Linked DNA regions of Drosophila melanogaster. The protein of the gene in region 1 interacts with the protein of each later gene in a pairwise test. Each region holds a gene or a part of one and is shown in the gene's direction. Other genes may lie near its edges.

Region 1 (7,554 bases):
CATTACCCAATGTAAGTTTACAGAGTCTGTTAAGTTATCAGTTAAATAAATCCCAATGAATCCCTGTTAACAAGCAACTCACTTTTCGAACACGAAAGCTTTTCATCAACGAAACACAACCTCTCTTTTAGCTGCTTTCTCCCGCACTCTCTGAAATTTCCCCAGCCTCGGCTCGTGTTTCGTCAAGTGCCGAGTGGCTCAGCTCTTTATTCTGTGCTCTCGCTGGCAGGACACGAGTACGTACAGCCGAATTCCTTCGATTCCAGCTTCTACTTAACAGCATCGGCATCGGGTCCTTCAGCAGCAGCTGCTGTTGTTGGGATTCCGGCGAGGGCCGACAGCTTCCTGCCGCTGATGCTTCAGTTACGTTGATAATGTCAAATCGTTTGGTTCGCTCTGCTGTCGCCATCGCCCACGGGTGCAACCACAACAACAGTGCCAACGACGAGGGCCAGCGAGCTAATAAATTTTAATAAAATCCCCATCACAACAAAGAATAAACAACAGCGCAACCAGACAACACAAAAAATTCGTATAACAAAAATTGCGAAAGAATCTGCAGTTCGGCGGGCCAAGCAAATGCCCGCTAAAAAAAAGTGTCAGAATTTGTGAAAATTAATATTTCACCAGAGATTTGAGTGTTTCCAAAACAAACAAAAAAAAACCCGAACACTGCAAACAGGACAAACTTTTTCGTTTCGCCAAACTTTTATTTCGTACACACTTTTTTGGTCCTACGCGATTTGCTCGCGAAAATTATGAAAAATATGTGAGAAATGTGCAAAATCCGCAAAATACTAAAGTAAGGGCATAGGTCAAGCCCTATTCTCCAGTGCGGGATATATATTCTGGACGGGCCAAAAATCCCCTGACGTTGTCCTTTCAGTAAACCAAACCCACCCACCGCCCATCTAGTGTCATGTGTATGTGCGAAAAGAAAAGCAGCCAAGTTGAGTGTGTGTGCGCCTGGGTGTGGGAAGTCGTGTAACGTGCTAAAATAAGTTAATTTATTGCCGGCACAACAACAATCACAACACACAAAGACAACAACTGCCGGCAGTCATAACATTTGTGTTGTTCACCAGTTACCCAAAGGTGAGTTACTTTCAGTTGAGCGTTCCGACTGGGTGATGATGATATCTGTATCTGTGATTTTGCTCCGGCTTTTTGTTGGGACTCTTAAAATATAATTTACGGTCATGTAGGCTGTGGATTTTGCAAAACCAAGCAGATTTTTGGCAGGAGAAATATGTTTCGGCAGTGCGATTACACACAAATAAAATAAAAAATAAATTTCTAGATTAGCTTTGAAAATTAGGATTCATTAAACAAAAAAAACTCCAAAGAATGAATGACCATGTAGTTCTAATCTTTTGTCCAGATTACTGTAACCAATCATTTAAGAAGCAAACTGATTTTGTGCCGTAAAAGACGCTTTAAGCTAATTACTCATGCTGTAATAATCTGCATTAGACATAATTCGATTTGCTTGACACTTCGTAATAACTAATTTATCCAAGTAGATGAATAGCTCAGAATAATGAAAGGACTTGTGCCGTAAGTCACTTTACAATTAGGTGTTTGTAAAATTAATTAACATTATAGAATTTTAGTAGTGGATATAATAGTTCTGTGTCGCCCTTTACCGACTCAGCAAAGGCAATTTCCCATTGTGAAAAACAATGGATGTACCGCTATTAAAAATTCAGTTGACCCAGTATGTTGATATTTACATTTGAACAATACATTTCTGAGTGAAACAATTTTAGCCCATATTTGATGGTAACTTTTGGATAATAACCAGGTGGTTAAAATATCAGAATACAAACCCGTTCAAATGCTTTCGAGAACATTATTCACCGGATATGCCTCTGGCGACTCGACAAAGTGTTTTTGTGGAAACCGACAATAAAAATTATGCCGTTCATTTAACTTGTTTGGGCGGAGATTCGTCTGAAGAAAGTGATGGAATGGCCAATTGTAAGTGAAAAGAAAATGTAAAATATTCATTCAGATCTTGTTAATTTGTTGCATAGATTTGGTTCAGACCTACGCCACTGAAAAAAGGCCATCAGTTAGAATTATGAAGAAAATTTTGCAGGCGCACAAAAGGCACGGCTTGGAGTTGAAGTTTCTAAAATATTGCGTGTAAATATATTGGAAAAAATTATTTATTCCCATTGAAAAGTGGTCTGTAGCCAATAACTAGACTAAGAAATATCATGCTAATTGAAAATTTTTATCAGACCATTTGCGTTTTTGTTTTTGAGCTTCCTTATCAAAACTAATGTATTGGTTTGTGAACCAAATTACATTGAGGTTTAATTAAAAAAGAAATTTATGGCTAGGAGCGCGTCAATTTGTTTTCAACTGTGGCAGTTTTTAAACGAAAATATTTTGGTGACTGGAACCGTTGTCAAAAAGTTCGTTCAATTGACCTGTCTTCGCTATTCAAGCGTGGCTAAAAAATACAACCGAATAGCTGAACAAAAACTGTCAGATCCATGACCTACATAAGTACGTCGTGTAACCAAATAGATTGGAAGGTTTTCGAACGAATATTTTGTTTTTCCCCTGCATTCGCTTCGTATGCAAAACCAAAACAAGCAGCTTTCAGATTTTGACCATTTTTCCATTGTTTTGCTAGTCTCTCGAATGGAAACTTTTGCCTGCCCATTTCATTCGTTTTTTGCGGGCTAGCTAACAAAAGTTCGAATGTTAAATGATTTTCATGGCGCAAACTTTGGCAACCCTGAAACTGGACCCCGGTCATTTGTTAGCCTGTCAGAAAGGCAACAAAAATGGGCGCAAATATGCAAGTCTGGCTGACACGTGAATTTATTGCATTCAAAAATATGAAAAGTTCCAATAAAAAGTGCAACAACAGGGTACTACAGGGTATTAGTACAGCGGGCCAAAGCAGCCCCATTCCCAGCAATTTTTGCATTTGTTCGGCACAAAATAGAAAGGTGGCGCACAACCGCCGCTGCAACATCCGCAGTTGCAGGTGCATTTCATGCAGGGCAGCAGGGGACCCACGGGGCCGTAGGTCAAGCGGTACGAGACCACGGCACAGGGCGGTGGGCCACAGCATCCGCCACTGGATCCACCACATGAACCGCCACATGATCCGCCGCAGGATCCGCCGCAGCATCCTCCTGTACCGCCCCTGCAACAGGAACCACCAACACAGCAGGATCCACAGCAGCCACCTCCGCCGCAGGGCTTACAACCAGACCCACAGGATCCAAACTGCGGTCGGCATCGCGGTGCAGCACAACTCATCCTAGAAATTACTTAGCCCTTTGCAACCTGTTGCTAAGTACTTGCCGCTAAAAAAAATGCTAAATACTCCGGGGCAGTGATGGACAGTCAGCTCACAGCTCCAGGCGCCTATTTAGCACCTTTTTTGTCCGCCAATAGTCACAAGTCCACTGGGAAAATTTTATAATTCCTGTCGAATAAAAACTCTTGCAGTTTCCTCAAGTATTTACTGGAAAAGTGACACCAAAGGCAAGGATACATGCGGTTGAAAACATTTTAAATTAGAATCGTATCGAATAAACATATATTGGAGACTAAGTAATTCCATGTATAATTTGCAATTTATATGGTAACTTAACGATTTTTCTTCCTATAAAAGTCTATAAAAGTACTTTTATTCCATCACTCTATTTTTGTCACCAAAACATTGCAATTAAAATTACATCTCAATTACACATCCTGCCTTGCGGTACCATTTAAAACCGACGTATGGTCGCTAGGAATATCCAACCAGAACCACCACGCTTCGTCGAACCCATGTCCTCTCAGTTACATTTGCACAGTTGACCATGCGTGGGTTTGTCTACTAGATCCTCACATGCAGACACCCTCTTACATGGCCTCTGGTCCGTCGGGAGATATTGTAATTGATTGTCTCCGCCTGGATGAATAGGAGTTGGATTGAAGTATCATGGACCGGAGTGGCAAAAACTTTCATCACGGTTCGTTATTCGGCGGATAGAAATTTGCATCGCCAACGGTCCGAGTTAAAACTCGTGGTAGAAGTAATAGAATTATGAAGTTGTTCTGAACAGTATGCAATCTCGTACTTTATTTTGTAACGCTTACTTGATTGGTTGTGTCACAGAGAACACCAATAGAGTAATTTAATTTATATATTCCCACAACATGCCATAATATGGTATATATGATTGAAGATCCCGGCTAAGGGCTTCCAAAATGTAGTTCACTTCAGCATCAGGGTGCCATCCACTCTCTCGTTCCGATTTAGCCAGCTTTCATTTTAGGCCAGATATCCAAAGCGTAGTCTAACCCGAGGGCGGCGTCGATGAGATTGTCAATAGCTGTCAGAGCGAAAAATCGCCTTTGCTCCCTGGGAAACCCAATCCACTTCAGTTCCTTTTCCACTTCGGCACCAAACACTCGATTTTGTGTCTGCTCCAGGGCCAATAACTATACACCCCACCCAAAAAAAAAAAAAACAATAGTAAAAAGAGCACACGTTTCGGAAAACCTAAACCAAGTCAAGATGTGTGGTGGCTGGGCCTGTGCCTCCTACAATATCGCCTGCTGCAATCCCCGCCTGTCGACACTGCGATTCTCTGGCCGCTGTTTCGCACCCACGCCCTGCGGTCCATGTGATGACTGTTCCATTTACGGCGGTTGCTGCGGTGGCTGCTGCGGGTGCTAGGTGATCTCTGACCTGGAGTAGCCACAGAGTTGGGTGGAGAGTCCGGAATTCAACTATCTTGAAGTAGGCCTTGGGAACTGTTGGCTGTCAGCCATGAAACAAATATCATTCAGTCCCAGTCCAGTCCTTGTCGGAACAACAACCTTAAACGTTCACCGGGGTAAGTTTCATTTATGCTTTTATAAAATTTTATTTAAAAATTTTATTTTTAATCATTCACATTTCCATATAGTTCCCACATCCGTTTCCTAACCATGTGTGGTGGCTGGGCTTGTGCCTCCTTTGACCTGGCCTGCAATAATCCTCCCTTGTCAACACTGCGTTTCACCGGTCGGGACTTTATACCCACGCCCTGCGGTCCTTGCGATAAGTGTTATGTTCTAGATACTAGCCGCAAGAAGAACACCAACAACTGCTATGTTCCGCACATCCTGTCTCCACTGGATGCGCAGCTCTGCACACTGGCGAGTACTCAGAAAAAAAAGGAAGACGAATAAACGCCAGGAGGAAATGCGGTCTTATACTACTAAAATTATCAGTGTAGATCTTCTTGTACCAGCCATTTCCATGGGAAACCAATAAAAATTTGAGGGACTAATACTGACTAAGTAAGTTTGTTCCTTAGTTAGAGATCTTGTACCTACGCTGTCGCGCCTAATTATTTTCATATTTTTCCTATCGGTATCCTGGTCCTGGTAAAACTGTCGACAATTTTAGTATATTTTTTTTTAAAGGAATATTAAATTTGAGCCATACAATTTCAAGAACCATTAGAGAAAGAATTATACCTCATGGTATACTTAGGATACTCAATCCTAGTAAGATTGTGCTATCTAGGATTTTGGTATATTTTCTTATTTTTCATATACGTATCAATGGAATATGAAATTTCTCAAGAAATTTGACAAATAGTAAATAAGAAGTTACTTGTTTAAGTACATTAATTTATTGAAAAGCTCGAACCATTGTGTAAGTGAAAATGTGGTTCAAACCAAAAGCACAAAAAAATTTCACGTCGTTTTCTTCAGGAATTGTCGTACCTTGGGTTTCTCAGTAAAAAGGCCCAAAGCAACCCCATTCGCCGGCACAACAGCACCTGTTAGGAGGACATGTCCAGGGACCACAGGGAGGATTGGGTCCACAGCAGCAGTTATTATAGTTCATGGCTGGCAGAGCGGGTCCGACGGGGCCATAAGCCAGGGCATAGGATACCGATCCACAAGCTCCTTGGCAACACATCTTCGGGAGGATAGGTTATAACTGAAGGAGATATTCGATAGAAAATCTTTCGGGGAAATTAGGACTACTCACATTTTGTTTAAGGCAAGAGAAATGCTTGAGTAAAGATTTCCAAAAATGTTGAAACACGAAATTTTTTCGTACTTTTGGTTTATGTACTGGTGAAAGCGTACGGAGCTGTTTACAAAACAAGTAAATAGACTGGAATGAGCTGAGCTAAGAAAACCAAGCCCATGCCCTGGGAAATTCTTCCCGAAGCCAACTTGATGTGGAAAAATTTAAAACCAGCTAGAAAGCCAGAAAGGAAATCAAAGTGGGCTAGAGAAACTGCCTTTAAAATCGATCAAAGTCAAGTTGTTGATGCTGCTCTCCTCCTGGCTGAGCTCACAAATTTCACACATCAATGATTTAACATCGAAGCGACAAATACAAAAAAATTGAATTTCTCTAACGACAAAACAGCAGCGCAACAGATTCGCCCCTCTGGCAAAAATAAGAAATCATTGAAACATGTCTAAAAAAAAAAAAAAAACGACGACTCTGGGCAGAATAACACCAGTATGAGATGGGATGGAAGATGCCGAAAGGATTCTGTACAGGACTCGCTCTAAACTGGGGCAACGGCAATGTCGAGGCAGACATGAAAGTCTATTAGACTCAACGAAGCAACCTTAACGCCATTTTCCAGCTTCCTTCGGTTTTCGGGGGGTTAATGTTAGGGCATGTGTGTGCGGGACAGGATATAGGATATACAGGACCTCGTGTGCGTCTGCGGGCGTTGTGATTCACAAAAGCTGACAAGCTCATCGATCCCTGAACATTAGCTAAACATAAATTACGCAGATGACTGAACAACAATTGAGGCGTTTATTATAATGTGTGTTCACACTTGAGGCTTTCAAAAGATGCACTCACAGCATATACATATACATATATCCATATATATGAGAAGTCTGTATCAGAGAATGGACAATGTAACTTATTTAAACTAAATTGGAATTGTTCAAATGGTATTAAATCGGCCAGCTTAAATTTTGAATAATGAAAAGCAATTGTTTTGGTTGTGATCAGCAAATCAGCAAATGTCAAATAACTACGCTTCAATAAATAAATATTTGAGTTTTTATTATATACTTAGCTTTAAAATACAATAAGATTAAAAAAAGATAATAACTGAAACTTATTTCATAATATTTTGTGCTATCAAATTTTGTGCTTACCTTAAACGCTGGATTTTATAACAATTTCAAAAATTCTCACTATTAACATTGGCAATGAATCCTCCGCTTGGCATTCCATTTGGCCTTATAATTTATTCATTCAACTTGTTTAAAAAGCAATTTACATCGATTTACCAATAACAGCTCGCTGTTGGAGAAAAGGAAAAACCACAGACCCCCAGACAGTTAAGAACTATTGCGAAACTCATTTCTAAACGAACCAAAAAAGGGAACCCAGCTTCAAGACTGCAATTGAGGGCCCTCCACATTCCTTCGAACCGAAAAACAACACCCCACTTAAGATAATCTCATTGGTAGGATGCCAAAAACTTATCCCCCTGCACACACACACAGTGTATAAAAATGTCACCACAAAAAGGGAGAAACACCAGGGAAAAG
Region 2 (6,703 bases), on another chromosome or scaffold:
TCCCTTACAAATCTGAAGCTCCCTTTCAAATATTTACTTTATGAAGCTGACAAGTTCGTGAAAAAAATTTTGGGGGAGCCGCAGAATGCATTAGAATTGGTTGAAAGGAAGGAAAAATATAAAACCGAAACACAAAGGAACTAACAAGCGATTCCACCTACTCCGCCCCATCAGCAAACTCTTCTAAGTGATTTCAACCCGGAAATGCCCATAAATCGATTGGATCTTGGGCCGTATAAGGGGTAAGACGAGTTTTCAGTGTGCTCCTACACCGTGCGAAAAATGATAGTAAATATACTAATGCTATTTAGTAAGCATTAAATATTTTATTTTTGTAAAGATATATTTCAATTTTAAATTAAATAATAGTTCATTTGGTAAAAATTCTTTCCAATGTTACAAAAGGAGTCTGGCTGTTTCGAGAACACTTTACTTTTCCAGAGCAAGAAATCTGTTTCTAATTTGTTGGGTGTATTAAGATATAAGAAGAGGCAAATGCATTTCTCGCTGTGTATGGGTTCCTTTGGCTGCGGATGCATCTGGCTTTATGGGCTAAATGAATGAATTGAAATGGGTGCGGACGAGTGTGTGTGGTTTGTATCGACTTGTGGCCCACTTGTCTGGATTTTCCACCCCCATCCCTTCCACTCCCCTTTTGGGTAACACCCCCTCATGTGGGGTACAATGCAAATAAAAGTTCATTACAAGCTCAGGCCAAGGCGCTTAAAAAAACTGTTGTAACCGAGGCTTTTGTTATATTCTCCGGTCTGTCCCACTTTGTGTTGTGTATTCTGCCTCTTTTATGGTCAACGGCCCCTTTCTGGCGCTTTAGATCGTGGGTGGGAAACGGAGGAAGTTGCCTTGCCGGAAACGCCACATCCGTGTACGAGTCCATAAAGTCAATAAGGGAAAATGGTAGAAAAAGCGGCGAAAGCGAAGGAAATTTTGAAAAGCCAAAGGGAAATGAATTAAGAATAAGCAATGATTTACCAACTTTGCCTTACTCACATTTATGATATTGGTGTCCGGTTGGGCATCCCTCAGCTTATCCTATTCGATCGTAAAATCTCTTTAAATTATAAGACTTTTATGAGCGATAACTACTGACGGAATAAAATACGACATTCGTTTACGACATGGCACGCATTATTAAATCTAAAACCAGCATTAGCCATTAAATATATGAGATTTTTATCTATGACAACTGTTGAAAGACCTCCTCTTCGAATTAATTGAAAATGTCAAAGATCCGAGGCAATTATCGTAAATTATGAACACGCGCCCGAATCCAAATATTATTATTATTTTTATTACGTGCGTAGGCAAAACAAAAATCAAGAATTTCGAGCCACCATCTAAAATGTAATGTCGTCTTCAGGGTGAGTTCTTCATAATGAAATGTCAACAAATACAAATACATGTGTGTGTATGTACCAAAAAGGGGGAAGTTGGCAAAAGTATAAAATAGGGCCAGAACATGTTCTTTGTTTCAGCGGTGGTTGCTCGACTTCTCTCGAGTCTTTGAAGTTGACTTGCGGAAATTGAAAACTTAATTGGCAGAGCTGTCTTACCCTGCTGTTCTGCGTTGAAGGGAAAAATAGCAAAAATATGGGGATTTCTAGAAGATATTTTGATAATTGTGAATTTAAAATACAACGTAAAATAATTTGTATACATGCAATTTTTCTAAAATGAATTTAAGTAAAATAATTTGTATACATACCATTTTTCTAAAAGGATTTATTTACATGCATATAGGAAAAATAATGCTTGTTTACTTTATAAATTGATAATACTTTTGCTGGACCACGTCCTGAAAATCTGTATCTCGTGCAAAAATCTCCATCGGTGACTCACGAGCAGACATAACAAATAAATTCACCAGAAAATCAGAGCCAGCCAAATCCCGTAAATCGCAAATTTTCTATGCATTTTACCCGTTTGCAAAATCAGATGTGGAAAAAGGAACCAAAGCAACCCCAGACAGTAGAATATATATATATATATATATATATATATATATAGAACGAAACCATAAAAAATGCAACAGACCATAATAATTTCAACGTTTATTTTTTTGAACATTTTCTGCTTTTGTCGCAATCTTCCACAGGATCCCTCCACACCAGACCCCCCTTTGGTCCATCGAATTCAGGGTCTGACTATGCAAAAATGCAGCAGCCAAAAAGCACATAAAATTATTATGTGACGAGGAACGTGGGATGCGAATATATGGTGGTAGTGGGGGGAAAAGCGGAGGACAATGCTTAAAGGCATTTCGGACTCGGCCAAAAATCAGACTCAGCATGTGCGCATAAAGCTCAAATAAACTCAAGTTGTTGACAAAGGGGTTAAAGGCCATAATTGTGGCCGTCGGCAGAAGGGGTTAATATGAATGGGGTGGCCTAACGCTTCCCCATGGGGAACCTTCCAAACGTGCCAGACTGAAAGTGGAATTTTCATTGGATGTGTAAACAAAACCAGCGGGGGAAAATGAGCCAGATGATCAAGTCTGAAAAGCTTTCGGTACGGTAGCACTAAAGTGAGTTTTTAAGGGGATATTCTCTGCTTTATGGCCGTGCTAATGTATTTTTTTTTTACAGAATAAAATTAGATTTTATGAATTTGTATGAAGGACATGTTATTTTATTATGATTTGCTTATGATTTATTGCAAATCTCTGAGACTTCCTGAGGTTTCTTGTAAATTACTATTTATTATGAGTTTATAATAAGTTGCCAATAAATTCAATTTATTGTTCCAATTTCATTAATAAACTTCGAAGTTTTTTTCTAAAACTTTCTCAAATATCCTTTTCTTCTTATTTTCCTCCAAGGTTGCCTTATCTACCACCAAAAGATTTCTTTACAAAGCTAATAAAATGTATTACCAAACTTTTGCAGAAGTTCTTTGAAAAGCAACTCCATAAAATCAAATTTATGTATTACCTGCATTGCCCCCTTCTATTTGCTTTCCCCCTACTTTCCAGCTTCTTTTTTACTCATTTCCTATATCGTTTTAGCTCCCTGAACTGCAGGAGGACAAAACCTCTGGTCGCACTTTAAATAAGCATTAAATTGATACAGCATAAAGTTGTTTCCTTCTCTTAGCCCGCTCTGTCTACCCCACTCTTTTGCTCCCAAGACGCACTCCAGACACACTCTAATCGCTTTATAACTTCTAACGCAGTTTATCAGAGTCGTCCGCAGCCCGTGGCCCCTCATCCCTTAATTCCAACACCCCCAAAAGTCATCCTTCCCATGCCATTAAGGCGGCTCAAAGGCAAAAGTTATTGTCACGCACTGAAGTCGCCTTCATGTGGAGTTGTGTGGTGCACTGAGAAAATCATTGGTTTTTAATAACTCGGCTCAAAATTATATTACATCAGTACGCAGGCTCTAGTCTTACAGTAAATATCAAATATTCTATTAATAAGATCAGTTAAAAAAGCTACTTTATTTTAGCAACATTATGAAAAGTTAACATTAGTTTACAGGGAATCCCTAAAATCATGTACCTATTTTGAGAGATATCCTCTTCATGGTAAATAACTCATACTCAATACACTGATAAGATTGTCAAGCTAAAGACGAAAATATTATGCAAGTGTTGATAAGAAGAAATTATATCAAGAGATTGTTTCTTTCTGTGCAATTTTTTTTATTGAAATGGTCGAAAGGGGGTATATAAACACCTCCACCCATGCCAATCTTCATGCAAAAGCTTTCTGGTTATTGCCTTCCTGCTCGCACTTTCTCTGTGCTTGTGTTGGGTGTCTTTAGTGCCTTTTTGGTTTTCCTCGCTTTTCTTCTTTCGTACTGTATTTTCTTATTTTTTGTTTAGGACTACGTCTGGCAAACAAGGCGGAAATTATTGTTGGCGGGGTCTTAAAGTTTTATTTTACCTTTTACATATCTATTTGTCAGCATCCTTTTTTTTGCAATATCAAATTGATGTTTTGTCTGCGAAATACTTTTTGTTTTTTCTTACATCTGCTATTACTATTACTGTCATTACATTCGTTAAGAATGAAAAGAATAAAAGCGCTTAAATGTTATGAATTAGTCCGGTGAGTAATTCCCGATCCATGATTGCACAAAAACATTGCTATCTTTATAGCCCACTTTGAGTATTAGCAATAGAATCGAAGTGAATCCCCAGTGAGTCAGTCGAATACACACCCCCTTCGATAAGATAAAGCAGCACAACAATAATACTATCTGAATTGTCAAGCTGTTCAAGTGGGATGTGTATATAAACTGGTCATATCAGCGGATGGAAAGGCAGTTAGCATTCAACAAGCAACGAGAGCAGTTTTCGAAAGGAATATATCAGTTTGATAAGGATTAAAAAAAGTAAAACATTCAAAATGTCGCCGCCACATCACGAAAATCGCCTGTTTGGAATCCACCTTGGCCTGAATTTGGGTGGAGGTGGACATCATCACCACCACCATCATCCACCGCCTCCGGTGCACCACTATCACCCACCGCCTCCGGTGCACCACCATCACCACCACGGACCTCCAATGCACCACCACGGACCCCCGCCGCACCACCACCACCACTACGGACCTCCGCCACCGCCGCCCCACTACGATCATCATCATCATCACCACGGCAGCCACTTTGACCATCATCATGGTCCTCACCATGGACATCATCATCATCACTGCTAGTACAATGGAATGGAAGGAAGGTCTTAAAAACCACAGCCATCAGGTGGCGAAATAATGAAAGTGTTTATAAGCGAATTTAATTTATTACATAAAGTGTACAAAAAACAAAACCAAAAAAATCATTAAAACCACTTAGACTTATACAAAGACATTTTTGAATGCTAGTTTCCTTGGGGAAAGTAAAAATAAATAAATTAAGAAGTACGATGATAATTCATGTAGAATTTTTTATATATGTATGTACTCGTAATGGATTTCTGCATTCCAAAAATACGTGTACTGCGCACTTAGTTAACAAATGTCCATACGATAAAGTATAAAATAACAACTAATCTTATCTTGATTGACATGACGCAAAGATTTCACCAAAACGTAATTGAACGATTCTCTATACATATAAAGCTGATTTTAAAGCCAAAGGAATCAAGAATAATTTTAAAACTTAATAATTCAAGAAATTCTAATCCAATAAGAAGATTATTGGCAACCACAAACACAAAACAAGACCACCCACGAAAACAAGTTTGTAAGCCGATAAATACAAATGAAATTAAATATAATTTTAGTACGGCTTAGATTCGCTTCGGGTGGGTCAAACAAAATGTTTGCCAATTACAAACCCATTTCGAAACGCTTTTATTTTTCTGCGGTTGTCACAAAACGCTAATTAGACAGCAGCTACCATATAGAGTGGGTCTCTCAATACCCGTATATATTTGTCTGTGGGTTATGTGGCCTGTCATAAAATATAAAATGCTGCCCCCGGCGTAGGTCGTATGGGTATCGACACCTGGAAAATATTGGTAATTAAAATTTGCCAGTTGTCGACCAGAAATCCGAAAAAACCGCTTCCATTTTGGCCTGTCTAATAATGTTGTAAAACATGTTGCCATTAAGTCAAGCGACAGACGCCGAAACGCCCCAAAGGTAAAAACTAAAAAAACAGGAAAAATAAGGAAAATGATTTGGTGGTAGGAAAATACCCTACACATAATTTAGAAGCTGAAGAATAAACTTATAAAAATTAAGATTTAAGTGATCTAATGATTAAAATGATAGTGTGATTTAAATAACTTAGTTAAAACTGAAGAGCTGGAAAAATAAGGAAAATGATTAAGTGGTAGGAAAATACCATAGCTGAAGAATAAACTTAAAAAAATTAAGATTTAAGTTATTTAGTAATTTTAAAATGTTTCAAAAGCTTTTTTCTCAACAACTTTAAACAAATTCCTTCAATGTTAAATATTAAATAGAATATGGAGTGTTTAGCTAATGTACATACCCCAAATTGTTTTTAGGATACCTTGTCGTATACTATAGCTCTCTCATTGACATGTCGCGCTAATGGAATTGGTAGCAGTAAGTGACACTCGAGCACTCTCTTCAGGTTTTTGGTCCAAGACTGTCAATTAAATATGAACATTTTTCGGGGTCTGGCTATCAACGATTTTTTGACAATTTCATGGGACAGCTCGAAAATTGACAGGCATGAGGGTAAAGTGCCCCTCCTCCTTAAATTGACTAGATGACAATTAACGTCTCAATTCATAATTTTTGCGTTTGAAAAAAACCATTCCTCAATGCGCGTGGCTTGCTTTTAATTAAAAAACTTAAATTATGCCACAGGCCTAGCCTGATCCATACTTTAGCCCCAAATGGAGCCGCCTGCCAACTTCGTATATCTTAATTGTTATTTGTATTTAATTATATGGCAAGTCGACTCTAGTTTGCCGCGAAAGTTGAAAATGTTGGAAAAACAACAGCAAGTGGGTGAGGAAAAGAAGTCAAGTCAAAGTTGCTTCGCTTTTTTCGTAATTAAAATGTTTACTTTACATAGTTGGCCAAGTGTTGGCTCTACCGGGGAAAAAGTGAGTTGAAAGATGAGAGAAAACAATAGAAATACGAGTTGCTTGAGCATCCGTCAGATACTTTCAGTGATTATGCAAGAGGAAAAACCTTGCACACCACGAGAAAAATGAAAAATGAGTGAAAGATTGAGTCATAATGACAGTTACTTGTTTTTTA
Region 3 (8,212 bases), 2.9 Mb from region 1:
GTAGCAATGTTAAAAAGTGGCTAGTACCCATACATATTATACACACAACAAGAACAATACCTATAACTGTTATTTAGTGCAAAAATTTAAACTAGTTTTAGAAGCGAAACATGTTTTAGAATTTATACAGTGCGTAAGTTTACCAAAGTTACATTTATTTTTGTGGCATTTTTCAGCTTGAAGTATTTCATGAATTATATATTTATACAAAACTATGTGATTATACACCCACACCCAATAACAACCAAAAAAAAAAAAAAAACAATTTATCACCTAAGCCAATTGCATTCACTAACACACCAAGGTATTTAAGAATTAATTATTCTATCCGTATCGAATAACATACGCGTTTATGTTAGTACACCAATTGTTTTGCATTATGTATTATCTCGACTATATAAAATATGCATATTGTATTTATAATTTACTTCAGTGTTTTCTTTGGTTTCCTTGGGAAAACGCAACAAACTTGCCGCCCTCTCCTAAGCGAATGAAATTTGTATATCATCAACTGTATCAGCTGTTGGGTTGCTTCTAGACAAAAGATAATGCACAGACATCTGTTGCTTATCGAAAAAAATGTATATATAATGTTGCGGTTAAGTACCTCATACAAGTTTTTCTTCTCGTCAACCGCTTGTTGCTATTTTAGTACCTTTGTGACATTAAATGCCATTGAATTTTTACATTTTTACAGTAGGAACTGAACATAACTTGATTCCTACTTGTTTCGAAACATCTTTGATTCTTTATTAGATAACTATATTATTATTTTATTATATTATATGTAGCTATGTAGCTAGCTACAAAATTCAAGACACATTTCTTAGAATTCCAACTTATCGAGTGCTCACTGCACTCGTAAACAAAGAACAGCTGAGATGTGTTAGGGTATGTGTAGGTTTTTGCGTTGTGGAAACTCATACAAGATAAGCGGAAAAAGTTGCCAGCCCAAGCGAAAAAATCCGACAAAAATAACAAAAATTCCAAGTCGGCAATACTTACAATATCACGTATCTGTCAGATACGAAATTTTGTCGTATCGCATTGTACGCTTCCAGAAATTTGCAGTTTAACGGAAAACGTACAGCAGTGAAGACATGGAAGTGAATCAAAAATGGAACTGGGACACCAAGCCAATTCTGGTCAAATGCGGAGGATTCTCCTCGCAATTGGCCAAGAATGTCACCGAAAAAGTGGACGGTGATCCACTGTGGGGATCGCGATTCGATGCCACCAATCCGGAAGCTGTGATCCAAACACATCTGGACTTTCTTCGCAACGGAGCGGATATTATTCTAACCAACACGTATCAGTCCAGCGTCGAGGGATTCGTGAAGTACCTGGGCGTGACCAGAGAACGAGGTGTGGAGTTGATCCAAAAGAGCGTTCAACTGGCCAAGCAGGCAAAGGAACAGTACCTTAGCGAAATCGGTTCTGAAGCGGAGTCGGCTCTTCCACTGATCATGGGCTCAATAGGTCCATATGGCGCCTATCTCCACGATGGATCTGAGTACACCGGCAACTATGCGGACAAGATGTCCAAGGAGGAGCTGAGGGCGTGGCACAAGACAAGAATTGAGATTTGTCTCGCAGCTGGAGTGGATGGATTGGCCCTGGAAACACTTCCATGTCTGATGGAGGCAGAGGCAGTCACCGAATTAGTACTGGACAACTTTCCGGATGCCAAATTCTGGGTCTCCCTGCAGTGCATGGTGAGTAATATCGCAAAAAACAATAACATTCTTTATACAAAACAAGGGTAAAAAATATATCGTTCAATTACATTTAAAAATCCACTTTATGTTCCGATATTTTCAGGATGAAAAGCACATGGCTAGTGGAGAAAACTTCGCGGAGGCGGCTCTCTCCCTCTGGCGGTTGGTCCAAAGTCGGAAGGCTGAGAACCGGCTCCTTGGGATCGGTCTGAACTGTGTAAACCCACTATTCGTGACCCCTTTGCTATCATCGCTTACCAAAGTGGCCGGTTCGGATCGCATCCCACTGGTGGTCTACAGCAATCGCGGCGAGATCTACGACGTCGAGCAGGGAGATTGGACTGGAACCGGCGAGGAGGTGGTCAAGTTTGTGCCCGAGTGGATCCAGCTGGGAGTGCGCATCGTTGGCGGCTGTTGCCGGGTCTATCCGACGGACGTGTTGGCGATCCGCAAGTACGTCGATGGCCTCAACATAAAGCCGTAATCGGGAGAGAACTCCGGTCACTGATAGCAGCCTTGTCGCTAATGCGAAAGCTGTTTCGTGTGACTAGACCTAGACCTATTTAGTTTGCTAAATACATATACGCGAGTACTAGATGTACCCAGATCAGATGGCTTCCTAATCAGCAGAGTGTGGAAAAAAGCGTGGACGGCTGGCTGGGAGACAAACACAGATTAGGCGGGCGGACCAAAGGTAAACAAGTGGGCTGGGGATATGGGCAGACGTTCGCCCAACGACTGTTTTTGCCAACCTAGCTCAATTTTTGAGTCCAAATCAAAACAATTTTCTATTCAATTATAACACAAAAACGTGCATTTGTCCTTTGAAAAACTTGCTGTGTTCTTAGCTTTCTATTCTTTATAGCCGGATTTAAATTCTTTAAAATTAATATTGTTAAAAGTGTGTATGTATGTACTGATGTAAAGCAATAAACTACAAAAATATCAAAAATAGTTGTTTTAGTTATCTTCAATATATCATATTTTTAGTACAGTATTAAAATAATATCTTCATTAGAGATTCATCAAATCTAATCACTTCTTACATATGTACCAAGGCAAACGCCTTCTGGTACGCAAGGTACTTTATAGAGAAGGGTATGCCCTTCTATTCTTGCGGTTCTCGACTTTATCACTATGAAAGATATTTCAAAATTTTTTGGAACTTCATACCGCATTTTTAAAAGAGTACTTACATTTTTGGCTGTTGAAGCTTTTGAGGATGGTGGAGCCACATGTCCACCTATTGCACTCTGACCCAATCTGGCAATCAGCCTAATCGGATACTTCGTTCAAAAAACATGATTTTAACGGCCATTTTCAAATTGAAAGCCTTTTGTCGGTCAATCTCTTACTTTACATTTTACTTTATTTATTTATTTATTTATTTATTTTTTTTTTGTCCAAATATTAATAACAATCATCACTTTAAGCTCATCTCTTTTAGAGGAGATTTTATTTGATATATCTTATGTCTTATTTCCTGTTCATTAGCGATTTGTTTACCAGAATAGGGGTTAAATGTTGTTTTTCTCTTTGACATCAGTAGACCTATTTTTGGACCATAATCTATTGAGTGCGGTCGGAAGCTCACCCATTTTCCTTTAAGGAGGACAGAGTCAACAACCAAGTACATCTTGAAGTGTTGGTCCTAGGCGGCGTCCAGAGGTTATCGGCGTCGACTTAGCAGATGCGACATCCCGAGCAGAGTCACTCGGAAGCCAGAACCACGCACAGCGGCGCTTTGACGATTTCATCAGCTTCATCAGCCTCGTGGAGGGGGAGTCGCAGTCCACCCGGACAATCCAATCTGGCTGGCCAGCGTCTGGCAGCTGTGCACCGGGCTTATCACCCACTTGGTGGGGGCACTCTCATGTTTGTGTTTGCCGTTTTGTTTTGTTATAAATTATTATAAATATTATAAATTTCGCCCTGATAAGCCGAGCCGCACAGCTGAGTGGCCCTTCGGAAAGTATAAAAGCCCCTCGACGATACGTGAAACATTTAAACGTTCGTCGAGCGTCCATTGCGACTGATCATATCCACCGTTCCGAAAGATTTGTGATAACCACTTGATAACCAACCAGCCAGTCTAGTGTCTAATAAAGTTGTTATTGAATTTGCCCATTTACAAGATCCATAAACAAGCTGTCAAGGTGAGTGCGAGACCTTATCGTGTGTTTTTCGCTTCCCTACCGATAGATTTTGATGACAGACGGTGTATACACTATCCAAGGAGTATGCTTAAAAGTGCAACAAAGGGATCTTATAAGCAATCTAAAAATGTTATGCTTGGAATACTTACATATATTAAATATTAATATATTTTTTAATTTGGAACAAGAATAGATCTTGAAACGTAATAAATGATTCACTTTAAAAGATATATATTTCTCAAAAATTGTTGCCAAATTTTAAAGAGCTGATGTATATTTTGAATTTAGCGTATACAGAATAAAATGTTTCAGGCTTTTAACTCGCCATTTATTGAGATACGTAAAAATGTGACCTTGGTTTTAAATTTGTATACTATTCAGTGAAAGCTGAATACTCCTAGAATTAAATCTTTTTTATAATAAATCATAAGACTCATATAACATATATCTTAGCTAAAGAACTTTGAGCTGTTTTTCTCAGTGTGTTTTTTAGATTAAGCCACTGGTCTTTTGTTCTGCCAAGTTCGTTGAACTGAAAAATAGAGATTAGTTCTTCCGATACATTGTATAACATCGCCCTGAGTGCAGTGGAATCCAGGTGGCAGACGCAATATACATATTTAATTATCTCGCAGCCCGCTGACGTAGAAATGTAACTAATAATCAATTTTCAACGGATCATCCTCCACCCCTCTTAGTAATCTTTCAATCATGGGTTTGACGCGCGTGCTGGTGAAGGATGGCGGTTTCGGCACCCAGATGACCGTCCATGTGGGTGACTCTGTGGATGGGGATCCGCTATGGAGTGCCCGCTTCAATGCCACCAATCCGGCGGCCATTATCAGCACCCACCTGGACTTTTTGCAGAGTAAGCAATTGTTTTCCGGTAGCAATTGGCAACATACTAACTGAATTTTCCCCTTGACAACACCAGATGGTGCCGATATCATTTTGACCAACACCTACCAGTCCAGTGTCGATGGTTACATGGAGTACCTGGAGCTGGACGAGGAGCAGAGCATCGAGCTGATAAAGAACACGGTCCGCCTGGCCCACATCGCCAAGGAACGCTATCTCACCGAGTGCTATCAGGCGCAGCTGTCGGTGCAGGAGGGTAAGTTGACATCCATGAGGTCCAGCTCGGGCGGGATTAATTTAGATTGTGGTCAAGTGAATGATGTGGTAGGGTCATTACTTTTAATACTTTCTTTAATACTTTATTTTATATATAGTAATATTTACCAATTATATATTCCAATTTATTGTTTTTAAAGGATACCCTTTGATCATTGCCTCCATTGGACCCTTTGGGGCCCACCTGCACGATGGCTCCGAGTACACCGGTAGCTATGCCGACTTTGTGCCGGCCAAGGAGATTACGGACTGGCATCGCGTGAGGATCGAAGCGTGCTTGGAGGCTGGTGTGGATGCGCTGGCCATCGAGACGATTCCCTGTCAAATGGAGGCGGAGGCCCTGGTGGAGATGCTGTGCGATGATTATCCGGATGTGAAGTTCTGGGTGGCCTTCCAGTGCAAGGATGAGAATACCCTGGCGCATGGAGAAACCTTTGCGGACGCGGCGAATGCTATTTGGGACCTCTTGGCTGAACGAAATGCCCAGGATAAGTGCCTGGCCATCGGAGTAAATTGTGTGCATCCGAAGTTTGTGACCCCGCTCTTTAAGAGTTTGAATGGTGACCGCGAAGTGGGTGAGCAGATACCGTTGGTGGTGTACCCCAATAGCGGAGAGGTATACGACGTGGTCAACGGCTGGCAGGGAAGGGAGCACTGTGTGCCCTTGGCGAACTACGTTCCGGAGTGGGCGCAACTGGGGGCCAAGGTCATTGGGGGATGCTGTCGCACTTATGCGAGGGATATACGCCACATCGGGGAGGCCATTCGCGACTGGAACAAACTGAAGAAGCTCTCATAGGGATGAACTTCTAAGCTGGGGATCTCAGTACCTTCGAAAAGAACAAAGTAGTTATCCATTTAGTACTGTAAATAAATGTATTTAGTTATTAAGGCATACAACTTATTTTAATAAAACAGAAAAGACAAAAGACAAAAAAATACTTTTTAATTTTCTAAGATCCGAGATAAAACATTAATAAACAAATTGCTCTTAATTCAAATCCCTCAAAAGTGACGCCTTCCATTTTTTTCAAAAGTTAAAAAATGTAGTAATGGCATTCAATGGATTTTTGCATCTCATGAGTAAAATAATTTAAGGAGAATTTGAATTCTAAATATGTGAGACTTCTAACCGTAATGGGCACACTATAAATCAAGCTACAAAAAATTTACATAAATTAAGTTCTCCTTTTTCGAAATGTATTTTTTTACACGTGAATTGTGTAGAGATGGAATGATGGAGAAAATACTATATTTGTAATAGTGTGGAAAACAATCGATGGTCATCGACAGTACTATCGATAGTTGCCAGTCGTACCAACGCCGAAAGTGACAGCCAAAAAAGAGAACCAGCTGTGGAGATTTGCAAAAATTTCGGCAATTTTGAATTTGTACAGGAGCGCCTAGTTAAATACACACAAAATGTTGATCAAAGTGAAGGTTAGTGTGGAAGATATGGAGTAGCAAAAAAGTAGGATAAAGATAAATCACAGCCATCGTGCCCAGCGGGCACTTTGAACAACAACAAAATCGTCGAATATTACAGTCAATATATGTGTGGCTGGATTATTAATGTAAATATGTATTATCTTTCCATTAGACCCTGACCGGCAAGGAAATCGAGATCGACATTGAGCCCACGGACAAGGTAGATCGCATCAAGGAGCGCGTGGAGGAAAAGGAAGGCATTCCGCCCCAGCAACAGCGTCTTATTTTCTCCGGCAAGCAAATGTGAGTCTTTCTGGCTATTGGTCATTGATTTTAGCTTATTTCGCATGCGATCCCCCCCAGGAATGACGATAAAACCGCGGCGGACTACAAAGTGCAAGGTGGATCCGTTCTTCACTTGGTATTGGCTCTGCGAGGAGGTGATTCAATCCTAACACCTTGTGTGTAACTAGCGTGTTCATAAGTGGAAAACATTCATTTAAAATTCACTCAAATATATTAAGCTTGAGAAGCGTCATATGGAGAATTAATATATGTAAACTAAAAAGAAGTCTTAAAAGTGGTTTAGAAGAAAACAAAGTGTATTCGCATCGGAGGAATTTAGACAGAATGGATTGGGGCCAACCGGGTCCGTAATAAAACATGTTTTTTTGTAAGCCAACATCTAAATCATTCGAAAAAAAGAAGAACACTCCACAATGGTGGGCTAAGGTTTAAAACATATCAAAAAGGCATTTATTTTGTCTCAGTGGCAGATTGTAAGTTCAGTTCTGTTTAACAAAACGTCCGACTAGCAGGTGATTCTTTGGCGTACACTGTTCGGGCTTTAAGCGTGTGAGAATGACCTGGTAGCCCGCCTCCTCCGCCTGCAGCAGGCGATCGGTGTCCACCACGGACATGCAGTGGAGTCCTTGAAGCGTGGTTTCTGGCTTGCAGTTGGTTGTCCCCATCTCGTGTGCCTGATCTGCCGAGTGGGCAATGTACAAGTAGTCCTTTGTGTCTAACACCTTTTGGAACGCTTTGCTCAATGGGTACGAAATGTGAGGCATGGGCTGCAGAGAACCGTAGCAGCAAGGACAGCAAACAAAATGTGCCTTGGCTCTCCGGCACTGCTGCAAAACGATATCTGTCGCCGTTCCACACGCGTGCAAAGAGGCCCCGATCTTGAATCCTCCGACAAAGTAATCTATGTTGCATTGGTAAAAAACGCAGTTGGTCAAACCCAATTCGTTTGATCTTTTCTGAGCTTGAAGCAGGGAGAAAGCTTTGTTTTCCATCACAATAATGGTACAATTTGGCAGCTTGAGGGCCAGCAGTATGGCCAAATGCCCTGTGCCGCTGCAGAAGTCCACAATGCGGTCGCCCGGTTGAGCCAGGGAAACCACCGCATTGGCCAAGTTCTCTAGCTGCTGCCTCTTGCGCTCGAGTCTCTCCTTGGGCAGCGCTGAACTCTTAGCATGTGTGGGCTCAATCTGCTCCCAGTCGATCAGCTGCTGGCCATAGGTGTGCTCCGAATCGGAATTAAATTGCAGTTGCAGCGAGGAAAGCTTACTTAGAGCCGCTTCCAACTCCAACTGACTAGTGTAAATCCGATTTCTTGGCTTGTATCGCTTGGGATCGGCTTTGTACAGACTGGTGGCCTCGCAGTCGGGGATTCCCAGTTCTCCGGGAGGGGTCTTAATTGCTTGCGGCACATAAAGATCTCTTAGAACCCTGGCGCATTTATCGCCGAAAGAGTCGATCTAAAACATATAA
Region 4 (7,905 bases), on another chromosome or scaffold:
AACAGTAAAAACTTTTCACTTATGTTTCTACTTCATTTATAGAATATTTAAGAATAATATTGATGTTAAGTTACAATATCATGTTGTACGAATTCTTCACTTAATAAATATAGTATATATGTACATAAAAAAAAAGTGCTCGACCTTGAACTAATGATATCCCTATTTGTTTATTTTTGCAGTTAATCACCGCACTGAAATAAAACACGTCGCGTGACAAAACTGAGGTGAGTTCTAAGTTAAGTTGGCAGTTAAACTTAAGGTCCAACGCGGCGTATACTTATTATGACGTATACTTAATATGGCGTGGTAAACAAGCTAACAGGAACCTGGCTCAGGGAACCCCAGTGCGTCACAGCTCGCACCTCGATGACTTGTGGAAGATGGCCAGTGCCAAAAATAGGCACTTCTCTCACCTGTCCGAGCCCCTTGTTTTCGTACCGCATTTGCCTTTGCCTTTGATGGGCGGTAAGACTCTGCCCAAGTGCTTCCCACAGCGCTCCATTCATAATATAATGCGCTGGGCAAATAAGTGAGTGTGTGCGCCCCTCTCTCGGTTGGTAACTTGGTCGGAAACTCGGTCGTTCAGCCGGTCTGTGCCCATGTCTCCAAAGATACGTGATCCGAGAGATAGTCGACACTGCGATCCGGCCTGAATGGGAGGTGACGCGGCAAGCCGGAGAGCTGGGGTGCTGGCACGGGAAAGAGAGCCGGGTCGGGGCAGCTTCTAAACACAAACGCAAATACGGAGCAACGTCGCTCGGTGATTTACCCATCCAGCTATAGACATATGTATGATATCAAGCCGGCCAGAGTGTCTGTGGTCAGTTCGGCCCACTCCCAGATGACAGGTGACGGCCATCGAATTGGGGTATTTCCTCATGGCGATTCTAGATTCTACATTCACGTCACCGACCGTTTTATTCGGTCAAGGGTAGTCGATGGCAACTGGCATTTGGTGCCATTGAGGACTTAGTTTTAAACGCCCTGATTCACTTCGATCTTAACTAAGGTGCGGTCTTTCCACCACTGTATTTCCATACACCAATTATGTGGAAGTTGGCACAGTGGGAATTCTATTTGAATGGAGTAAATTCCATTCCAAGCGATAAAACATTAAGTATTTAAGTCGATGCGTACAGAACGAGAAAGATCAGTAACGGCTACTTCTAGAGTATAATAAAACCAATGCAAATCGAATGGTAATCTCCCAATAATCGAATGATTAACCTTGGCATATCGCACACATCAACCACATTGAGTGTGCCAAATTAGAACAGTATAAGGAAGATTGCAGAAATAATCCTTTCTTGACTCTCAGATGATGCAAATTTAAATTGAAATTTAAGCTATTATTTATATATGATTTCCCGGTAGTTTATGTACTTTATATATAATATAAAATAATCAGTTATAATGCCATACAATCTGAAATTGTCTTCTGTGTGGCAAATTAGATCTAGAAACTGATTGATATATTGTTCATATCCGAGTTGCATTAAACACTGTATCTGTTTAATGTTAACAAATGTAACTTTATGAAAAATGTAACTTTGAAGGAAACACTATCTTCTGTCGCGTGTGCATTTGGCTAACGAGAACTTACACAATGAACTTACACGTGCATCTTGGTGGTATATTTGCTAAATTTAAATATTATATGCCTGGCTGAGGCGATAAGTCTGAGCGATATTTCCGTCGCTGTAAGTGTGGGATGTTTGCAGCTTTTTACTACGCTGAGTACTAAGTACTGTCGTACGTCACTCTGGAAGAGCTCATCAATGGAATGGTCATTTCTAAAAAGGGAATGGCAAACAGGAACGAGCGATAGATAGCGGATCTCCCTCAAACCGGATGACGTTGCAAGTTTAGCGAGTTCAGGCCGAGATTAGTGCGTGGCCAAAGTTAGCACCTCCTCGAGTGCGATAATTAACAGTCAACAATGCCTGGATGGGCGCAAAAAAAAAAAAAAATAAATTATAATAATAATAAAGAGGAGGAAATCAATACATATCGAATCAAAAGGAGAAGGCACCCATCTAGCGCTGAACAAATGCAATTCTGGACTGACAGCGGGCAAACTGCATTGGAAAACCCTTGGACATGGCCTCCAGCTCGAATTCCGGAAAAGTTGGCAATTATGGATCTGCCCAGAGCAATTGGGTAAAAACAAAGCTCGAAAAATTTGCCCAACTGATGAAATACTACGCAGAAAACTCGACAAGGGAATACGACTCCCATGAGCTTTGTGTCCCATGAGTGGGTTGAACTACGTGCGTCTTTATGAGTAATTGCTATGTCAAAGTGTGAGTGCCATGTTGGGCTAGGTTATGTGCTTGCTCGATGCACTGTGCACTACTGTGCACTGGCCATAGAAGAGACAGACACTCTGTCTGCCGGTTGCCGGTGTCTCTTATACCCAGTGCTCGATCAATTGGCCAAGTCCAGCGACCAGCGGCCAGCGGCCAGCGGCCAAGTGGCTATTGCCAGTCAGTTGCATGCAAAACGCGCACGTGCCAAGCGATCGATCGGAAATGCCTACGGAACGACGCGTCATTTGCCAGGCAAGTGGCACCCGCATCATAAATCGCCACTTAGTTAAAGTAAATACAGTAAATCGAGTAACTGAAGAATCCGAAGTGACGCCGCCGCCACAGCAGCTAAGAGACACGAGATATTCGCAAATTAATCAAAGTAAACGCGATTCCACTTTGGCTAATTCAGCCTGATGGGCATTGAGACCAATGTTGAATTTACATATAGCCATTACAATTTCCGGAAAGCTCAGTATTCAGGCATCAGGCTTATCAAATTTCGTACAAGAACAGTGAAATTCCCCATAAAAAATGTGTTTGTTGTCAAAATGTTGCCTCGAGCTTTTTGCTTTGGGTGTTACTCTGTTAGCTTGAACACTGAGTTTGGAATATGTATACCAAACAAATTCCAAGAATCTATCAAACATGTATTAATCAGCTAACAAACAGAGCAATTGGCATGTGTCGTTAAACAGTGACTAAAAGCCACTCATAGACAGAGCTAAACTAAAATGTTTGCAGTCGTCGTCCTCCAGGCAGGCAATTTAAATAAGGATTCAATGTTGCGATTGTAAGGTCAGCCTAATGCCAGTTGGCAACCAAGATGCCCGATTACTTGGTGTAGGGTGCAAGAATGCAATGCGACATCCGTTTTGGGCCATGAAGCGTGTGTGCATAAATTACAACGGTTGGCAACTCATTTGCCGCAAGACAGGAAGAAAACAAAACGTCATGTGCAGCGCTGCAACAGCGGCATGAACTACTGACCAGGGAGTAGCTAATCCCCGGCTGAGTCAGGAAGCCCATCCAAGCCAAGCCAAGCCAACCCACCCACTCACCCACTCACCCCCACCTCCGATAATTGAGAAAACCCAAATTCGAACTCCCTTTGCGGGCCGTTGTTTTTTTGATTCATTATCGTCATCGACCATCGGCCGCTGATGCTGCCGTTGCTGCTGCTGTGGTTGCTGCTATTGCTGCTCTTGCTGCTTGCTGTTGTTGTTGTTCACTTGTCGCTACAACGAGCACAACAAGTGTGAGTACCCGCCGCCCGCGCGCGTGTATGTGTGTGTGTGCGTAAAAAAAGTAAGCTCGGCCACGCGCTGCGCCGCTCGTGCGGCTTCGGCTACTGATATCGCCGGATGGCGGTCCGGTTTGTATTTAAATCGCCGGCGTGTGCCCCAACTCCTCATTAACCGTAAGATCTCGCAGAGCCCGCACGCCAGCCCCAGCTCTCCAGCTATCCAGCTATCCAGCTCTTTAGCGCGCTTTCAATCTGAATCTTGGCCAAATATCGAAAACCAATAAGACATACTCTCCGAACCGTGTGTGCCTAACATCACAAATCAAATCAAAATATGACCGCCAACAGCAGTGCCAGTGAATCCTTCGAGCTCCAATTCTTGGAGCGACTACAGCAGCAGCAGCAGCAGCAGGAGCAGGAGCAGAGTGCTCCGGCGGCGACAAAAGCGTCCTGCCAGCAGCAATCCAACATCATCGGTCGCATTTGTAAGTGTGCATTAAGATCTAGCGCCTCTGAATCATGTCGCTCTATCTGTATCTTTGTATCTATAACTGTGTCATCGCTGGGCAAACAGGAAAGTGCTCATCAAATGATAGGGATCTTGGGCATTGAAGTTTTCAATCATCATTATCTTATTGGCCAAGCCTGGGCATCCATCAGGATTAGGGAGATCTTTTGAACATCTTTGTATGAATCCTATTTACTGACCTTCCATCTTCTTGCATTGCAGCTACCTCCAAGTGCTGGCTCCTGGGCATCCTGCTGCTACTCACAGTCGCCACTAGTTGGCCAACGGGGACAATTGCCGCACCGCGTCGCGCTCGAGGATTGAGCCTGATTCTGCCGCACCGCAATCACGCACGACTACACCATCACCACCAGCACACCAGGTCAATAAGCACCAAGATCGTGCCCCTGTTAACCAATCAGACTGAAGGCAGGGAGCAGTGCACGGACCTTAAAATGACTCCCAATATCGAACACCTGCAAGTGGCGCTCGAGGTGGCCAAGAATACGCGGGAGGCGGTCCTCTGTCTGACCAAAGAATGGGTAAGTTAGCTAGAACGATGGACTTGCGGCAGCAGAGGCACTAAGTTTCCCATTTCCCATTTTTTTTCATTGCGAAACAGCTGAGGAATCAAAACCACACCCTGCCCCAAGATCTTCACTCCTACTCTCTGCATTCCCTGGCATTGAAGCATCCGCTCCAGTCGGAGGTCAAGGAAGTTAAGTTCCAGAACCAGCTGGGTGACTTTGTGTACAGTGGCAAGGTGACAACGCTGCAGGAGGAGATGCCGGCCATTATCGAGTCCCTGCTGGTCCTGGAGCATCTATACGAGATCATTGTGTTCGATCACCAGTCCTGGAACTGCTACTTCAATAACTTCGTGCATTTCTTCCATCACAACATGCACGAGGCTCTCAAGGTCGCCGGTCTCAACGATGCCTGCAATCCGAGGAACGCCGAGTACAATGCCGATCACATATGGCCGATGTTTGGCGCCGCCGTGGAGACCATCAAGGTGCTGACCATCATCGAGCACAAGTACGAGCAGCTGATCAAGCTGTATCAGTAATCCGCTGGACAGAGTTGGACGCTCCAGAGGAGCAGTAAAAGCCATACCAAAAATAATCGCCTCCGATGACCCACTGCAATCTCAAGCTAATAGGCTATGCCCACGAGTATCCAGATCCGTATTCGTCTACTAGACACCCTCATCTGCCTTAGACCCTATTATTTATTATAACTTATTAAATCCCCATTGCCCTCATACGTATTTATATCGCCTTTGCATCCTATTTATATACATACGCGTACCACCATACTCACTGAACACATTCACCGCATCGCAGGCTCGATAACTTATGAAAACTATTACTTAAGTGTATTTTTTTTATATATATTTACAATATTACAATGACTATTAATAAATTATACCGATAGGCGCATACGTGAAGTGCTTTTCTTTTCTGGTTGACCAATTTCATCATTCAGATGAAATTAAGTTACAACGAATTGGGGGCTTAGTCAACGGTGGGAATTCTGCCAACCTTTCGAAGGTCTACAACATCGATTAAAGCATGGGTGGTCATAAGATGTTTCCATGAATTGAAACAAGTGGAAATGGAACAAATCAAAGGTAGAGTTCAAAGTATAATTCTCAATTGCATAGCTAGCTAAGTAAATCGCTTAATACTTAGGGTTTTTTGATTTTTCACTGTTTTTTTTTTGGGGACTCGCGGGTTTATGACCTCCAATGCTTGAAGTTGGCAACCCAATTACCACTCCCCCAAATCGGAAATACTGGGGAAGTATGCGCGAGATTCCGTTTTTGGCCCGACTCGTCACCTGCCCTGACCCACCCCATTGTCGTTTATAGCTCGTGCCCGGGGCACGTTCCGATAGATAGATAGATACATAGATAGATGTATGTACATACATATATATCGGTTCGAGGTTTTCCACAGCGCGGCTGTTAAGAAAACCCCAAGTACCGTACAGCCGTCTGGCTGTGACTCATGGACCATTAGGCAAAATGTCGGGCAATCGTCGTGTGATCTCTGCATGTGACAAAGCAGTTTGTACACGGTAAAAAAGTGTGATATCTCCCCAGTGGCGGCTTATCGGAAATGTTTTATGATCATTCCTATCTGTAGTTTCTGCATGGTAGTTCTGCTTCCTGCATAAAAGAATCGAAAAGCTTGATAGGGCTACAAAAAAGGTCTGCAGAGGGAAAGTAGAGGGCTACTTTCTTAAAAAGGGTTCTATCAAAACTAACAGCCAAGGAGACCATTATTTATTTTTTTTTTAAAGCATGCCTACGTACATATATCGTTTGGGGTATTGTGTTGCCTTCGTTGGGGCACCAAAGGACCAATTTTACCGTTGCCACTTGACTGGCTTCCCCATTCTTTGGGGGTAATCGGATCGGATGGTCAGGAGCGATCAAAGATGGTGGTGCGTGGGATGGGGACTCGGGGATTCGGATTCAGCTAGGGATTGGGCTGGGACTGCAGAGCCGTTCGCGTGGCAATGGCGTCAGTCGCCTCGAAAACCGATAGCTGTAAAAGCTGCCGCCGCAGCGAATTGAATCAGCGGCAGAGGCCGCCGCCGCAGCAGCAGCAGCAGCAGCAACAGGCGCAGCAGCATTTTCTCTGCTGCAGCGAGCTGAGGTTATGAATGAAAATCCAAGTCCACACAATGTTCCGCTCGACAACCTGTTCTTCATCTTCCTCTTCTCGTCGCTGGCCGCACACTGTACCTCTCTGTCTCTCGCCCTCTCCCTCTCTCACTCGTTCTCTGTGGAGAGCGGGAACCTGTTGCGCTCTGCTCTTTCACTCGAATCGGCGCTCTCCGCGCCTCACGTTTGGAGCTTCTTGGCCGCTCGCCGATTGGCCAGAGCGCTTCGGAACCGCTCGTCTTCGGAGTGACGCTTAGGGGGCAGCGGACCAATCAGCGACGGGCCACTGACACACATTCACAGTTTCACCGATGGGCCTACGTGCAACGGCCCACGCACACAAGTGCGTAGAATGGCATCTCCGCGCCACGCCCCACCGGCTCCCCCTCAACCCATCGGCCAGTGGGTCAAAACGAGCTCCAGCAAATCAATTAACAAACAGAGTACATTTTCCTGTGAGGATATTATGGGCGTAAAAGGATTAGATGACATGTGTCGAATGTACAACTGCAGAGGAGCTTATTGGACCAACGACTGACTCTTGATGAAGTGTAAAAAACGAAAGTAATGGTAATGAAATTGTTGCAAATTTAATTTAATACATTTCATTTGTACATATTCGGAATACTAGTAAAATAGCTAGATATATATATTTAACGAAAGTGTAAGATACTTTTAGTAAATTAACTGAACATTAAAAAGATGGTATTGCACAAATAATATATTACCTATTGCCTATAAAATTGGAAATCGGGCGCATTAAAGCCGGCTAAATATAAGAAAAATGTTTGTATAATTCAAAGAGAATGACAAAAGTATGTCAACTTGTTCTCACAGTTCCTAGCTGGCCAGTACATATATGTAAGATATATTTATATGTACGTGGATTGAAAAATGTAAGCTTAAAGGTCTAACAAATTTGCAATTTCTATACTGACCAACTAACCATTAATTAAGGCATAACGATGTACCACTCTTCGAGGCGATAATCAACATCAAAGAGTTAAAGCCGACTGAATGCTGAATACTCAATAAATCCCAAAAGGTACCAGATGAAATCCATGGCGAATCCGAATTGCAACGGCAATTGAGGATCGGATAAGCGGCGGAAAATAGACAGGCAAGCAAACAAACAAACAAGATACAAACAGACAAGCAAATCGAC

What was found.
Region 2: the proteins of CG13245 (region 1) and CG13482 interact in a two-hybrid assay, tested with the Drosophila melanogaster proteins (one large-scale study listed by BioGRID).
Region 3: the proteins of CG13245 (region 1) and CG10621 interact in a two-hybrid assay, tested with the Drosophila melanogaster proteins (one large-scale study listed by BioGRID).
Region 4: the proteins of CG13245 (region 1) and CG6023 interact in a two-hybrid assay, tested with the Drosophila melanogaster proteins (one large-scale study listed by BioGRID).

The regions. Positions count from the first base shown.
Region 1 is NT_033779.5:16,000,160-16,007,713, forward strand, and holds CG13245 (uncharacterized protein), read left to right. Parts: upstream 1-4,165; 5' UTR 4,166-4,534; coding exon of another isoform or gene 4,535-4,696; 5' UTR 4,697-4,856; intron 4,857-4,928; 5' UTR 4,929-4,950; coding exon 4,951-5,193; 3' UTR 5,194-5,302; downstream 5,303-7,554. Other genes in the region: CG34167 (uncharacterized protein), read right to left, coding at 2,902-3,285; CG43816 (uncharacterized protein), read left to right, coding at 4,535-4,696; CG31820 (uncharacterized protein), read right to left, coding at 5,747-5,935.
Region 2 is NT_037436.4:14,325,068-14,331,770, forward strand, and holds CG13482 (uncharacterized protein), read left to right. Parts: upstream 1-4,278; 5' UTR 4,279-4,369; coding exon 4,370-4,678; 3' UTR 4,679-4,818; downstream 4,819-6,703.
Region 3 is NT_033779.5:18,949,934-18,958,145, reverse strand, and holds CG10621 (uncharacterized protein), read left to right. Parts: upstream 1-3,714; 5' UTR 3,715-3,874; intron 3,875-4,355; exon of another isoform or gene 4,356-4,572; 5' UTR 4,573-4,585; coding exon 4,586-4,742; intron 4,743-4,808; coding exon 4,809-4,988; intron 4,989-5,148; coding exon 5,149-5,807; 3' UTR 5,808-5,940; downstream 5,941-8,212. Other genes in the region: Bhmt (Betaine-homocysteine S-methyltransferase), read left to right, coding at 1,101-1,715, 1,822-2,202; Nedd8 ubiquitin like modifier, read left to right, coding at 6,431-6,448, 6,609-6,739, 6,800-6,905; CG10428 (uncharacterized protein), read right to left, coding at 7,222-8,199.
Region 4 is NC_004354.4:18,311,720-18,319,624, reverse strand, and holds CG6023 (uncharacterized protein), read left to right. Parts: upstream 1-3,723; 5' UTR 3,724-3,892; coding exon 3,893-4,043; intron 4,044-4,288; coding exon 4,289-4,608; intron 4,609-4,688; coding exon 4,689-5,135; 3' UTR 5,136-5,501; downstream 5,502-7,905.